Stegostoma tigrinum: one gene and its partner. The protein of the gene in region 2 binds, or shares a complex with, the protein of the main gene of each other region. Links are inferred from orthologs where the notes say so. Each region holds a gene or a part of one and is shown on either strand. Other genes may lie near its edges.

Region 1 (7,734 bases), on a different chromosome or scaffold from region 2:
CCTACCACTGACGTCAGGCTCACTGGTTGATAATTACCTGGATTATCCTTGCTACTCTTCTTAAACAAGGGGACAACATTACCAAGTTCCCTCTTCATCCAGTAAGCGTCTCCACTCCCACCACACCCGAGGGCTCTGGGCTTTTTCTTAAACAGAGGCTCAATCAGTCCCATCCAATGACCTCCTCTGCCTGGCAGAATCTGTTATCAGTTGAACAACTTCTCTTGTGATTCCATTCACCTTCTTTAATAAAATGTGTCGCAATGGGTACCTGCATGGGTTCTAGCCCTGTCCACTATCTGGTCCCCTCCTGAACCACACCCTGCAAGCCCTGGCCCTATCCCTGATAATAAAATGTGAGGCTGGATGAACACAGCAGGCCAAGCAGCATCTCAGGAGCACAAAACCTGACGTTTCGGGCCTAGACCCTTCATCAGAGAGGGGGATGGGGTGGGGGAACTGGAATAAATAGGGAAAGAGGGGGAGGCGGACCGAAGATGGAGAGTAAAGAAGATAGGTGGGGAGGAGAGTATAGGTGGGGAGGTAGGGAGGGGATAGGTCAGTCTAGGGAAGACGGACAGGTCAAGGAGGTGGGATGAGGTTAGTAGGTAGGAGATGGAGGTGCAGCTTGGGGTGGGAGGAAGGGATGGGTGAGAGGAAGAACAGGTTAGGGAGGCAGAGACAGGTTGGACTGGTTTTGGGATGCAGTGGGTGGAGGGGAAGAGCTGGGCTGGTTGTGTGGTGCAGTGGGGAGGAGAGGACGAACTGGGCTGGTTTTGGGAAGCGGTGGGGGAAGGGGAGATTTTGAAGCTGGTGAAGTCCACATTGATACCATTGGGCTGCAGGGTTCCCAAGTGGAATATGAGTTGCTGTTCCTGCAACCTTCGGGTGGCATCATTGTGGCACTGCAGGAGGCCCATGATGGACATGTCACCTAAAGAATGGGAGGGGGAGTGGAAATGGTTTGCGACTGGGAGGTGCAGTTGTTTATTGCGAACCGAGCGGAGGTGTTCTGCAAAGTGGTCCCCAAGCCTCCGCTTGGTTTCCCCAATGTAGAGGTAGCCACACTGGGTACAGTGGATGCAGTATACCACATTGGCAGATGTGCAGGTGAACCTCTGCTTAATGTGGACAGTCATCTTGGGGCCTGGGATGGGGTGAGAGAGGAGGTGTGGGGGCAAGTGTAGCATTTCCTGCGGTTGCAGGGAAAGGTGCTGGGTGTGGTGGGGTTGGAGGGCAGTGTGGAGCGAGTGGTCTCTCGGGAAAGCAGACAGGGGTGGGGCTGGAAAAATGTCTTGGGTGGTGGGGTCCAATTGTAGATGGCGGAAGTGTCGGAGGATGATGCGTTGTATCTGGAGGTTGGTGGGGTGGTGTGTGAGAACGAGGGGGATCCTCTTTGGGCGGTTGTGGCGGGGGTGGGGCGTGAGGGATGTGTTGCGGGAAATGCGGGAGACGCGGTCAAGGGCGTTCTCAACCACTGTGGGGGGAAAGTTGCGGTCCTTCAAGAACTTGGACATCTGGGATGTGCGGGAGTGGAATGCCTCATCGTGGGAGCAGATGCGGCGGAGGCGGTGGAATTGGGAATAGAGGATAGAATTTTTGCAGGAGGGTAGGTGGGAGGAAGTGTATGCTACGTAGCTGTGGGAGTCGGTGGGCTTGAAATGGACATCAGTTACAAGCTGGTTGCCTGAGATGGAGACTGAGAGATCCAGGAAGGTGAGGGATGTGCTGGAGATGGCCCAGGGAACTGAAGGTTGGGGTGGAAGGTGTTGGCGAAGTCGATGAACTGTTCGAGCTCCTCTGGGGAGCAAGGGGCGGCGCCGATACAGTCATCAATGTAACGGAGGAAGAGGTGGGGTTTGGGGCCTGTGTAGGTGCGGAAGAGGGACTGGTCCACGTAACCTACAAAGAGGCAGGCATAGCTGGGGCCCATGCGGGTGCCCATGGCCACCCCCTTAGTCTGTAGGAAGTGGGAGGAATCGAAAGAGAAGTTGTTGAGGATGAGGACAAGTTCGGCAAGGCGGATGAGGGTGTCGGTGGAGGGGGACTGGCCGGGCCTGCGGGACAGGAAGAAGCGGAGGGCCTTGAGGCCATCTGCATGCGGAATACAGGTGTATAGGGACTGGACGTCCATGGTGAAGATGAGGTGTTGGGGGCCAGGGAATTGGAAGTCCTGGAGGAGGTGGAGGGCGTGGGTGGTGTCACGGACGTAGGTAGAGAGTTCCTGGACCAAAGGATAGAAAATGGAGTCCAGATAGGTGGAGATGAGTTCGGTAGGGCAGGAGCAGGCTGAGACGATGGGTCGACCAGGGCAGGCAGGTTTGTGGATTTTGGGAAGGAGATAGAAACGGGCCGTGCGGGGTTGGGGAACAATGAGGTTGGAGGCTGTGGGTGGGAGGTCCCCTGAGGTGATGAGGTCATGAATAGTGTGGGAGATGACGGTTTGGTGCTTGGGTGTGGGGTCATGATCGAGCGGGCGGGTCGAGGTGGTGTCGGAGAGTTGGCGTCTGGCCTCGGTGATGTATTTATTTATTCCAGAACACTCACCCCATCCCCGTCTCTGATGAAGGGTCTAGGCCCGAAACGTCAGCTTTTGTGCTCCTGAGATGCTGCTTGGCCTGCTGTGTTCATCCAGCCTCACATTTTATTTTCTTGGACTCTCCAGCATCTGCAGTTCCCATTATCCCTGGCCCTATCCCTGTCTGACTGACTGCAGGAAACGGCTGTCACGCTCCCTCACCTCCCATCCTCCCTATCGCCCCTGCCTAACCCCCGCAACCTCTGCTCTCCTTGTCCAATGCCATCCTCCGATTGTGGGGGTGATCTCAGGGACCTGCCCCATGTCGGGGTTGTGTTTGCGTCCCCCAGGTTCCGGTTGCCAGGAGACCTGCGCTGCCTCCTCACCTCGGCCTGGAGGAAGACGGACACGCCCCCGGGGCTAAGCCTGAAGGGTTCCAGGATCTGGATGCACTTGGCCAGGTGCTCCTCACCGGCGGACAGCTCCTCTGTCTCCGTGTGGTTGAGGCCGAGCTGCAGCTCGAGCACCGCCGCTTTCTGCAGCCAGTCTCCAGCCTGGAGCGGCTCATCGTCCCGCGGCCCCAACGATGCTTTCAGCTCCTTCAGCAGTTCCCGAGCCTTGTACTTGGAGCGATAAGGCTCCGACTCAGGGTCCCGCTTCGACTCTACCTCCGACAGCCTCAATGCCCGGGAGTATCTCACGCTCAGAGCCCTGTCAAGGCCGCCTTCCTGCGCCGCCATTTTACCCGTAATTACAGGGCAGCACTGCCCTCCGCCGAATGCGGAAAGCACTGCAGACTTCAAAGACAGCGCCTTCCGGCGGCCAGGAGGGGAGACTGCTGCATCTAAGCCCCAGAGCAGGAAAGCGGCTTCGCTGAGGGATTATAAAAGGGTTAGTGGTTAAATTGAAAAGCAGTACCTCGATTAGTAGCTTATTACCTGAGCCACAATCAAACTGTTAAGGGGCAGACAAAATCAGACGGATAATTGTGTTTTTTGTGTAAGGGACCACGTTTTCCTTTTTTTTGAAACTGAAATGCAAGTTGGCTTGCTATAACCTAAAATCCAGTGTTGCAGTTTTAAAAAAACGAAGTGCTGCATAGTTTGTGTCGATGGGCGCTACAGTGGTGCACTTTAATACAGTAAGAAGAATTTTGAGACTGAGGGTCACCATGTGTCTTTCAAGTACAGGCCCTTTGGCCCATGATGTTACGCCATACTTTTCCCCTAATCCTCAGGCCTATCTAACTTACACCCCTACCTTATACTATCATCCGTATGCCTATCTAATAGCCACTTAAATGCCCCTAATGAGACCAACTCCATTACCCTGTCTGACACCACATTCCACACCCCGACCACTCTGAGCAAGGACCCTACCTCTGACGTCTCCTCTGTATCTACCTCCACTCACTTTAAAACTATGCCCCCTCACAATAGCTACCTCCATCCTAGGAAAAAGACTTTGGCTGTCTATCTATACCTCTGATCATCTTGTACACCTCTATCAAGTCACCTCTTATTCTTCATCGTTCTAAAGAGAAAAGCCCTAGCTCTCTCAACCTTTCCTCGTAAGACCTTCCCTCCATTCCAGGCAACATCCTGGTAAATCTCCTCTGCACCTTTTCCAAAGCTTCCACATCATTCCTGTTACAAGGCAACCAGAAGTGGACACAATATTCCAGATGTAGCCGAGCCAGGCTTTTGTAAAGCTGGAACAGAACTTCAAGGCTCTTGAATTCAGTCCCTCTGTTAATGAAAGTTTACACACCATACACCTTAACAACTCTTATCCGCCTGGGTGGCAGCTTTCAGGGAATTGTGGATGTGTACCCCAAGTTCCCTCTGCTCCTCCACACTGCCAAGAATCGTTCTGTTAACCTTGTATTCGGCTTTGAAGTTTGTCTTTCCAAAATGAATCACCTCACACTTTTCAGGGTTAAACTCCATTTGCCACTTCTCAGCCCAGCCCTGTATCCTATCACTGCCTATTTCTAACCTCGAACAGCCCTCTGCCATATCCACAACTGGACCCACCCTTGTATCGTCCGCAAACTTACTAATCCACCCTTCCACTCCTACATCCAAATCATTTGCAAAAATCACAAATAGAAGCGGACCCAGAACAGATCCTTGTGGTCCACCAATCGTAATTGAGCACCATGTTGAATATTTTCCATCCATTACCACCCTTTGTCTTCTAAGCGTCAGCCAATTCTGAATTGAATCTACCACATTTCCCCTATCCCATGCTTTCTTACTTGCTGCTTGAGCCTACCATGGGGAACCTTATCAAACGCATTCACTGCTCTACCTTCATCCATGTGTTTGGTCACCTCTTCAAAGAATTCAATAACGTTTGAGAGGCATGGATCTACCCCTCATAAAGCTATGCTGACCATCACGAATCAAACGGTGCCTATCCAAGTGATCATGAATCCTATCTCTCAGAGCCCTTTCCAATAATTTGCCCACCACTGAAGTAGGACTAACTGGCCTGTAGTTTCTAGGATTATCCCTATTCCCTTTCTTGAATAAGGGAATGACATTTGCCACTCTAATATCTCCCAGCATTATACCCGTGGACAGTGAGGTTGAAAAAAATCATCAAAGGCCCTGCGATCTCGTCCCTCGCTTCCCACAGAATCCTTGGATAAATCCCATCAGGCCCAGGGGACTTATCTATCTTCAAGTTCCTCAAAATTCCTAGTACATCTTCCTTACTAACACTGACCTCCTCTAGCCTACCAGACTGTTTCACAGCCCTCTCCTCCAACTAGGTACCTCTCGGTTATGAATACCGAAGAAAAATATTCATTAATGAACTCTCCTATCTCTTTAGGCTCTGTGCACAAATTCCCCTTACAATCCTTGCTCGGCCCTACCCTGTCTGGTCATTCTCTTATTCATCATGTACGTGTAAAAAGCCTTGGAGTTTTCCTTGATCCTATCTGCCAAGGTTTTCTCATGTCCCCTTATAGCTCTCCTAAGCCTAATATTGGCAAATGGGACTAAATTAATTTAGGATATTTGGTCAGCATGGATAAAAGGGTCTGTTTCCATGCCTGACCTCTCTATGACTGCTCTAATAGATGTAATTTGTATGACTGAATAGCCGCTACAAAGATCTGGCTGCTAGACAGCAAAGGCTGAAACCTGAATATACAAGGATTCGCAACATTTTTTGGAAGGGCATGAAGTCAAGAAAAGGTAGATCCGTACAATTGAAAGACTTGACCTTAGTTCTAAACAGAAAGATATAAAATCATTTTTGGTAGACATATAATAGTAGAGGTCAGAAGTCACTTGTAGGAGCATTTTATATTCTTCTTAAAAATAACCATACCGTAGGATGGGAGTAAAGAAATAGTAAAGAAATAATGGGTAGTTTGAGAAAGTTAATGTCAATAACCTGGGTGGTTTTCAGCTACATATAGATGAGCCGAATTAGTGAAAATGGTAGCCTGGGAGATGAGCTCAGTACGTTTCAGAACTGTTTCTTAGAGCAGCATGAATTAGAGCTAACCAGAGAACAGGCTATACTCGATCAGATGTGCAACGGGATAGGATTAATTTATAATCACATAGGGAATGTACACTTGGGTATCAGTGATTATAATGATTTAATTCTGGTCTTGAGGGAGAGAAGAATGTATCCAAGACTGCAGTGTTTTAAACTTAAATTGGGCAGTTATAAGGGTATGAAGACAGAGCCTGGAAAAAAAGAGAGAAGTTAGAGTACAGATAAGTGGAGATGAAATTGCAGACATAACATTCAAGATAGCCATTCCAGTGAGAAAGACTCGAGAGAAATGAAACACCATCCTTAACTAATCAAAGTAGTTAAAGATTGTATCAAAATTGAAAGAAAAAAATGCAGTTCTGTGAAGAGGGGCTGTTCTAATGCAGTGTGCAGTGCCCCTACCTCTAAGCCAGGAGGCCTACGTTCAAGTCCCAACTACTTCCGAGGTGTGCAAAAACATGAAATGCATATTTGTAGAAAATATCTACAATTCAGTAAAGATCATGGTCAGAAGACTGGACAGAACATGAACAAAGAATAACTGAGAAAAGGGAGAAATTACAGTACATGATAAAACTAGTGAGAAATATCAAAATAGTCCAGACAGATATTTAAAAAGGAAAAGCATGTGTCAGCGGTGGTCCTCTGGAAATAATCAAGTTGGAAAATGACAGACAATTGAACAGTTATTTTGCTTATGACTAACATTCCAGGAATAATTGCAAATCAAAGAATGAAAGAGATGGAGTATCTTAAAAACAATTCAATCACCCAAGGAAGGAATACTAAGAAATTATTAGAATGAGAAGCTGAAAAGCCCTCAGATCCTGATGGATTTCATTCTAGAGTCTTTAGCTAATCCAAAGAGTAACAGTAGAGTTGACTACAATTATGCTTTTCTCCATTGGCATGTAAAAATTTATAACTTAGGCTTGATTTTAATCCTTGGTTTAAAATCATGAAACATTTGGAAATATTGTCTGCTGCTATTTTGTAATTTTGATTCGGTGTTTGGAGTAACTGATTACTTTTACACTATTAAGTTAGTCATGAATAATCAATCCTGCTTGGATGCACCAAAGCTATAATATCCACCACATCCAATAATATTTTTTCCTTTAACTGAGTCACAGCTATTTTACCAGTAATGTCCCAATAATGCTATCCACCGAAAGGTATAGACTTTACTCCCCCAGAATTATGGGTCACCTATTCTGCTGAGTTTGGAACTTTGGTCAGAAGACAACAAACATGGAGGGCAGGACAAAGGAGCCAAAAGGTTAAATTTTGCTGTTTTGGAGATGTTGCTTGAATGTTTTGTAATTTAAATAATAGGAGCCTCTCAGAAGTGAAGAATTCTTTGACAAACCCTTGACCTAACATTGAAAACATTCTGGTTCTTCCTCAAAGGAAATTTTAATTGTCAAGGAGCACAAAGAAGTGAACCCTATTTTCATAAAGCTGCAGCTGAAGCTTTTAAATTAAAGAGCATGTAATAGTGATGTATATGGGCCATAGATCGAGAAAAGAGGAAAACAACAGCATTCTCTTGCAGAGGAGGCAGGTTAGACAGGGCTTATATGGCAACTAGAGGCAGCAACAAAGGGTACTGAAACCACCAAGATTCACATTAGGAGGAGGAATAAGTGGTATCTCATTGGGACCAGTAAATCCAAGGATCTTTAAAAAGTAAT
Region 2 (7,457 bases):
AAGATGCCACTGAAGATGGCTTGATGCATTGCTGCAAGAAGAAATTAAAGGATAAGCTGAAATGCAATGCGGCCATGCATACAAGACACTGGAAGATATTATATACTAAGTTGAGGGGCAACCTTATAGATGTTCATAAAATAATGACAGATATAAATAGAGTTAGTGGTAGTTGTCTTTTCTCTAGAATGGGGGACTTCAAGACTGGGGGCACATTTTTAAGATGAGAGGACGGAGAGTTAAAAAAAATGGCAATTTTTTTTACACAGAGCATGGAATTAACTTTCTATGGATGTGGGTATAATTATGTTTAAAAAACACTTAGATAAGTACATGAACAGGAAGGATTTGGAGGGATATGAGCCAGGAGCAAGCAGATGGGACAGTTCATTTTGGGATTATGTTTGGCATGGACAATTTAGACCAACGGGTCTGTTTCCATGCTGCATGACTCTATGAACCAGCCCAATGAGATCTGTTTGCAAAGCACATTTCATTTTACCACTTGCATTTCTGGAAACAAACAAATGGACAAATTAGGCATCCATAATTGGTTTTCTAGCATATGAAAGCAGTGGCAATACTAAAACACCACATACACCTGTCCCAGGAGGTTTGTGTACATAAATTGAGAAGATTCTTGTGAAGCACTCATACTCTGAGCCAGGAGGTCTAGGTTCAAGTCCCCCTGGTTTTGGAGGTTGGTAATAACATTTCTGAACTTAAATTAGAAAATATCTGGCATATAAACTACCATTAAAATTATGGGCAGTGTTAATATCTCTCTCTTAGCTATGCACAATTACTGGAGCAATGCCAGGTAGGGGCAAATCAGAGGTTAAATATGGAATCTAATTATTACTGACTGAAATGATCTACATTTAATCCCCTTACTAATTGTGTTATCGGTGTGAAGTGCACTGTACTTACAACACATACAGACTAAACTCACCAGTGATGACTTGCTCACTTGTCTAAGTACCTTGTAATCAATGTGATAAGTATAAATTACTGACAGTCAACTTCCCTGATACTGCAAATAAATTAATACAATTGCAGAATCTTATTCCTTCAGAGTTCAATTGTCAGAGATATTAAAAAAGTAAAGGTTTTACAAAATTACCTTTCTTTTGTTTATTTTGTCCTTGCATAAATTCAAGTTTTCTTTCTCACTTTATTTCCTTTCCTTACCCTAATTTTATACTAATTTCAAATTCACCTTCTTTCTCATCTTTAGGCTGTTTATTGACAATCATTCAATCTGAATTGTTTTATTCATTCCCAGGATGTGGACATTGTGGCTTGATCAGCATTTAGTTCTCACCTAATTGCCCAGAAGGCACTTAAGAGTCAACCACATTGCTGTGGGACTGAAATTATGTAGGTTAGACCAGGTAAGAATGACAGATTTCCTTCCTTAAAGTACATAAGTGAATCAGATGCAATTTTACAACATTAATGATGATTACATGGTAACCATGAGGCCAGCTCTTGATTTCAGATTTTATTGAACTCAAATTTCACATTTGACCTTGAGGGATTCAAAACCATGTAACTTGGATATTGGTTAACAAAGTGTGAAGCTGGATGAACACAGCAGGCCAAGCAGCATCTCGGGAGCACAAAAGCTGACGTTTCGGGCCTAGACCCTTCATCAGAGAGGGGGACGGGGAGAGGGTTCTGAAATAAATAGGGAGGCGGACCGAAGATGGAGAGGAAAGTATGGGTGGGGAGGTAGGGCGGGCGGACAGGTCAAGGAGGCGGGATGGGGTGAGTAGGTAGGGAAAGGCGGTGCGGCTTGAGGTGGGAGGAGGGGATAGGTGAGAGGAAGAACAGGTTAGGGAGGCGGGGACAAGCTGGGCTGGTTTTGGGATCTCCCCATCCCCCTCTCTGATGAAGGGTCTAGGCCCGAAACATCAGCTTTTGTGGTCCTAAGATGCTGCTTGGCCTGCTGTGTTCATCCAGCTCCACACTTTGTTACCTTGGATTCTCCAGCATCTGCAGTTCCCATTATCTCTGACCTGGATATTGGCTTGTCTTTTGTATTACTAGTCGTCAGTAACACTACAATTATGCAGCCTACTACGCTGATACAAGGACTGTTTGTGCTATCCATGCATATCCCAGGTCCTGTTTTCATCACTATCATTATTATCTTGAGCTTTCAGCCTAACTAATGAAAGTAAATATGAAGAGTAAATGTAAGTGATTGGCCATTGCCAGTCAAACACATTGCTGGACACTCATTTGGGGCAACTTTGAAAGGCAAGCATTGGCCGTTGAAATGTAAATTAACAGAAGGCTATGATCGCTTAGCTTTAATTTTCCAATGCAGGAAATTATTCAAAATTAAACAAACCTTCCCACCTTTAAATACAGAGGTGGTAACATTGGATCCATAAGCACGGGAATCACAGGAAAAAGTGTTAATAACAACAATCACAAAACTTTAAAAAAAGGACTTGTTTTTGGTCTTTTTTTTAGTCGCAGCTGGTTGATGACATTTAATCAGATAACGTTGTTGTTTCAGGTTTGAGTGTTTACTAGACTAAAGGCGGTTTATAAACACAAAACCTTTGGGTGGGCAGACAATTTTCATCCTGGGGCGTAGGGTGAATTTTATCAGTTTTGTTTGTGCGTTATCTATTAATTAATCGCCTTTCTGGGCAGATAACTAGATAGATAGGTTCTTGATTATCAAGGGTTACGGGGAGAAAGCACGAGAATGGGATTGAGGAGCTTATCAGCCATGGTTGAATGGCGGAGCAGGCTCGATGAGCCGAAAGGCCTAATTTTTGTTCCTATGTCTTATCATCTTTGAGTTTATATATTAATCCTGTCACAGCAATAATTACCGGGAGAGAGGAGGTGATTGCACACAAAGGGTGAAAAACGCAGATCAAGCACTAACCTTTACCAGTTGGAGGCATTTTTCCTGTCTCTTTATATATGTATAGGAATACAACCAGAGTCCTTTCGATTTAAAGTAGACAAATTAAATCACTTTTCACCTTCACACTGTAAACATTGCCTCAAAATGGCGGCCGCCAGTTTGGTTTGAATTTCGGCGCCAACAAAGACCACGTGGTACTCAGGGGTGGGGCAATACGCGTGACGTAACCCCTGGAGCTATGGGACGATGGCTGGGCGGGGAGGAGGGGAAGGGCAAATATAAAGGGCGCGATTGCTGTCCTTTGTGTCACGTGATGAAACGGTGTGTATTTGTGTTTCTCTCCCTACATGCTTGTGTTCCATTGGCTTTCAACGTCATCAAAATCTGCGTTTTGATGGAAGCGGCTGTTGTTTCCATAAACACGCACATGACCGAAAAAAAATGAGTAAAAGAAGCAACATCTCGTACGTGAAGCCGGCCGAACCCGCCTTCCTCAGGAAATTTAAGGAAGATGTGGGTTACAAGTCTGGGCCGACCGTGGAAACCAAGGTCAGTCCGACCCTTCAGTTCCTTCCCCCCCCCAAAGTCTTTGGCCAAACCTCATTCCTTGCGCTGGTCTGGCCTGTTACCCCTTAAAATAATAAAATGTGAGGCTGGATGAACACAGCAGGCCAAGCAGCATCTCAGGAGCACAAAAGCTGACGTTTCGGGCCTAGACCCTTCATCAGAGAGGGGGATGGGGGGAGGGAACTGGAATAAATAGGGAGAGAGGGGGAGGCGGACCGAAGATGGAGAGTAAAGAAGATAGGTGGAGAGAGTATAGGTGGGGAGGTAGGGAGGGGATAGGTCAGTCCAGGGAAGACGGACAGGTCAAGGAGGTGGGATGAGGTTAGTAGGTAGGAGATGGAGGTGCGGCTTGGGGTGGGAGGAAGGGATGGGTGAGAGGAAGAACAGGTTAGGGAGGCAGAGACAGGTTGGACTGGTTTTGGGATGCAGTGGGTGGGGGGGAAGAGCTGGGCTGGTTGTGTGGTGCAGTGGGGGGAGGGGACGAACTGGGCTGGTTTAGGGATGCAGTAGGGGAAGGGGAGATTTTGAAACTGGTGAAGTCCACATCGATACCATTGGGCTGCAGGGTTCCCAGGCGGAATATGAGTTGCTGTTCCTGCAACCTTCGGGTGGCATCATTGTGGCAGTGCAGGAGGCCCATGATGGACATGTCATCTAGAGAATGGGAGGGGGAGTGGAAATGATTTGCGACTGGGAGGTGCAGTTGTTTGTTGCGAACTGAGCAGAGGTGTTCTGCAAAGCGGTCCCCAAGCCTCCGCTTGGTTTCCCCAATGTAGAGGAAGCCACACCGGGTACAGTGGATGCAGTATACCACATTGGCAGATGTGCAGGTGAACCTCTGCTTAATGTGGAATGTCATCTTGGGGCCTGGGATAGGGGTGAGGGAGGAGGTGTGGGGGCAAGTGTAGCATTTCCTGCGGTTGCAGGGGAAGGTGCCGGGTGTGGTGGGGTTGGAGGGCAGTGTGGAACGAACAAGGGAGTCACGGAGAGAGTGGTCTCTCCGGAAAGCAGACAGGGGAGGGGATGGAAAAATGTCTTGGGTGGTGGGGTCGGATTGTAAATGGCGGAAGTGTCAGAGGATGATGCATTGTATCCGGTTGGTAGGGTGGTGTGTGAGAACGAGGGGGATCCTCTTCGGGTGGTTGTGGCGGGGGCGGGGTGTGAGGGATGTGTTGTGGGAAATACAGGAGACGCGGTCAAGGGCGTTCTCGATCACTGTGGGGGGAAAGTTGCGGTCCTTGAAGAACTTGGACATCTGGGATGTGCGGGAGTGGAATGTCTTATCGTGGGAGCAGATGCGGCGGAGGCGGACGAATTGGGAATAGGGGATGGAATTTTTGCAGGAGGGTGGGTGGGAGGAGGTGTATTCTAGGTAGCTGTGGGAGTCGGTGGGCTTGAAATGGACATCAGTTACAAGCTGGTTGGGCTTGAAATGGACATCAGTTACAAGCTGGTTGTTACAAGCTCCTGCCCCTTAAAATACCCGTGTTAAAGTAGGAATAGACTCCATTTTACAAGGAAATGGTAGAAGAGTAGAGGAAATCGGGTTGGCTGGAAAGTTCGGTTGAAGAGCTGTCACAGACACAATGGGCCGAGTGGTCTCTTCCTATATTGTCGTGCAGTGGTTCAAACTCATTTTTGTATCAGGATTGCCCACCTCACTAAATTCCATTATAATACAATATGAAATTGTTCGTAAAGATGTAGGCGCTCACAAGAATGGTTCCACGGATGAGGAATTTGAATTAAAATAGATTTGAGAAGTTGAGCTATTTATTTTGGGACAAGAAACTGAAACGAGATTTGACAGCGGTGTACAAAATCGCGACGGGTTTGGACTAAGTTGAATAGGGAGAGATTAAAACAGGTCACAGATTTGAAGAAATTGATAACGGAAGCAGAAGCAATGTGAGGAATAGATTTTTCTCACTGTGATTTTTAAATTCTGAAATGTGCTGTTGAGGGTGTGTGAAGCTGTTCAGTTGTGAATATGAAAAGGAACAATATTCAAAGTTAAGGAAAATGGCTGTCCAAACGAGCAATTCATTTGGTGCCAGTATTGACACAATGAGCTGAATAACCACCTTCTGTGCTGTAACAAATTTATGATTACTTTGTGTCACTTTAATACCATATCATGTACACTCCTTGGTGTGGCTGCTAGCTCTCTGTGCTGCATGAGCTATAGCTGTAGCTTTCTGCTTCTAAGCTCCCCTGCAGCCACCAGTAAAGCATTGTAAGCAATTTCAAATTTTCCCAGAGCTTTTAAAAACCACTAATGTAATCAAATAAATTCCTTTGTCAAATTATTTTTTAAAATTCTATAAACGCCCAGGGGGTCAGCTTCTGTAAGGAGGTAAAGATAAGTTTAGCTGTTCAGATTTTGGACAGAAGGTTATTGACCTGAATGATTAAACCTACTGTATCTACAAATGCTTTTTCTCGATAAACCAATAAGAAGAAAGCGCACCTGTTTTTTTTTTGGAAAGGCACAAATCGTGGAGGCAAACTGTTTCAAAATTGAAAACAGCAATGTATTCGCAGGGATTAAATTCACAAGGGAAGAAGGAAACAACAGTCAACTTCTGTTTCTGGATGTTGAAGTTGATTGTATGACCAACGGTGTGTTCCAAACCTCAATAGACAATAGGTGCAGGAGTAGGCCCTTCGAGCCAGCGCCACCATTCATTATAATCATGGCTGATCATCCACAATCAGTATCCTGTTCCTGCCTTATCCCCATAACCCTTTATTCCACTATCTTTAAGAACTCTATCCATCTTTCTTGAAAGTATCCAGAGAGTTGGCCTCCACTGCCTTCTGGGGCAGAGCATTCCATATATCCACACTCTCTGGGTGAAGAAGTTTTTCCTCAACTCTGTTCTAAATGGCCTACCACTTATTTTTAAACTGTGTCCTCTGGTTCTGGATTCACCCATCAGCGGAAACCTGCTTCCTGCCTCCACAGTGTCCAATCCCTTAATAATCTTATACGTCTCAATCAGATCCCCTCTCATCCTTCTAAACGCAAGTGTATACAAGCCCAGTTGCTCCAATCTTTAAACATATGATAGTCCTGCCATTCTGGGAATTGACCTTGTGAACCTATGCTGCACTCCCACAATGGCAAGAATGTCCTTCCTCAAATTTGGAGACCAAAACTGCATACAATACGCGAGGTGTGGTCTCACCAGGGCCCTGTACAGCTGCAGAAGCACTTCTCTGCTCCCATACTCAATTGTTATGAAGGCCAGCATGCCATTAGCTTTCTTCACTGCCTGCTGTACCTGCATGCTTGCTTTCATTGACAAGAACACCTAGATCTCGTTGTACTTCCCCTTTACCTAACTTGACGTCATTTAGGTAGTAATCTGCCTTCCTGCTCTTGCCACCAAAGTGGATAACCTCACATTTATCCACATTAAACTGCATCTGCCATGCATCCGTCCGCTCACCTAGTCTGTCCAAGTCACCCTGTATTCTCATAGCATCCTCGTCACATTTCATCCTGCCACCCAGCTTTGTGTCATCAGCAAAATTGCTAATATTACTTTTAATGCCTTCGTCTATATCATTAATATATATTGTAAACAGCTGTGGTCCCAGCACCGAACCTTGTGGTACCCCACTGGTCACCGCCTGCCATTCCAAAAAGGACCTGTTTATCACTACTGTTTGCTTCCTGCCAGCCAGCCAATTTTCAATCCAACTCAGTATTTTTCCCCCAATATCATGTGCCTTAATTTTGCTCACTAATCTCCTATGCGGGACTTTATTAAAAGCTTTCTGAAAGTCCAGGTACACTACATCCACTGGCTCTCCCTTGTCTATCTTCATAGATAGATCCTCAAAAAATTCCAGATTATTAGTCAAGCACGATTTCCCCTTTGTAAATCCATGCCGTCTCTAACCTATCCTGTTACTGCTATCCGAATGAGTCATAATTTCGTCTTTTATAATTGACTCCAGCATCTTTTCCCCGCACTGACGTCAGGCT

Evidence for each region.
Region 1: the proteins of kif15 (region 2) and kifbp are in contact, whole or in part, in a cryo-EM structure (PDB 6ZPH), measured with the Homo sapiens proteins. The link is inferred for Stegostoma tigrinum from reciprocal best matches to the Homo sapiens genes KIF15 and KIFBP. Residues at the interface, in NP_064627.1 of Homo sapiens: Leu187, Glu189, Ile191, Lys192, Lys193, Arg231, Glu232, Arg235, Arg271, Met280, Arg281, Leu282, Lys283, Glu284, Ala285, Gly286, Asn287, Asn289, Arg290, Leu292, Ser293, Gly296, Gln297, Ile299, Ala301, Val303, Asp304, Val305, Gly306, His312; in NP_056449.1 of Homo sapiens: Lys26, Tyr33, Lys36, Ile106, Glu109, Ile147, Ser150, Glu151, Glu153, Thr208, His209, Tyr212, Tyr213, Gln216, Gln219, His220, Phe224, Gln238, Glu248, Trp249, Ile251, Asn252, Thr255, Gln258, Phe259, Asn262, Tyr415, Val416, Thr417, Glu421.

What each region holds. Positions count from the first base shown.
Region 1 is NC_081373.1:57,846,521-57,854,254, forward strand, and holds the start of kifbp (KIF-binding protein), read right to left. Parts: upstream 3,282-7,734; 5' UTR 3,259-3,281; coding exon 2,905-3,258; intron 1-2,904. UniProt on the Homo sapiens protein: Activator of KIF1B plus-end-directed microtubule motor activity. Required for organization of axonal microtubules, and axonal outgrowth and maintenance during peripheral and central nervous system development.
Region 2 is NC_081355.1:8,298,299-8,305,755, forward strand, and holds the start of kif15 (kinesin-like protein KIF15), read right to left. Parts: upstream 3,057-7,457; 5' UTR 2,931-3,056; coding exon 2,912-2,930; intron 1-2,911. Other genes in the region: uncharacterized protein KIAA1143 homolog, read left to right, coding at 3,335-3,442. UniProt on the Homo sapiens protein: Plus-end directed kinesin-like motor enzyme involved in mitotic spindle assembly.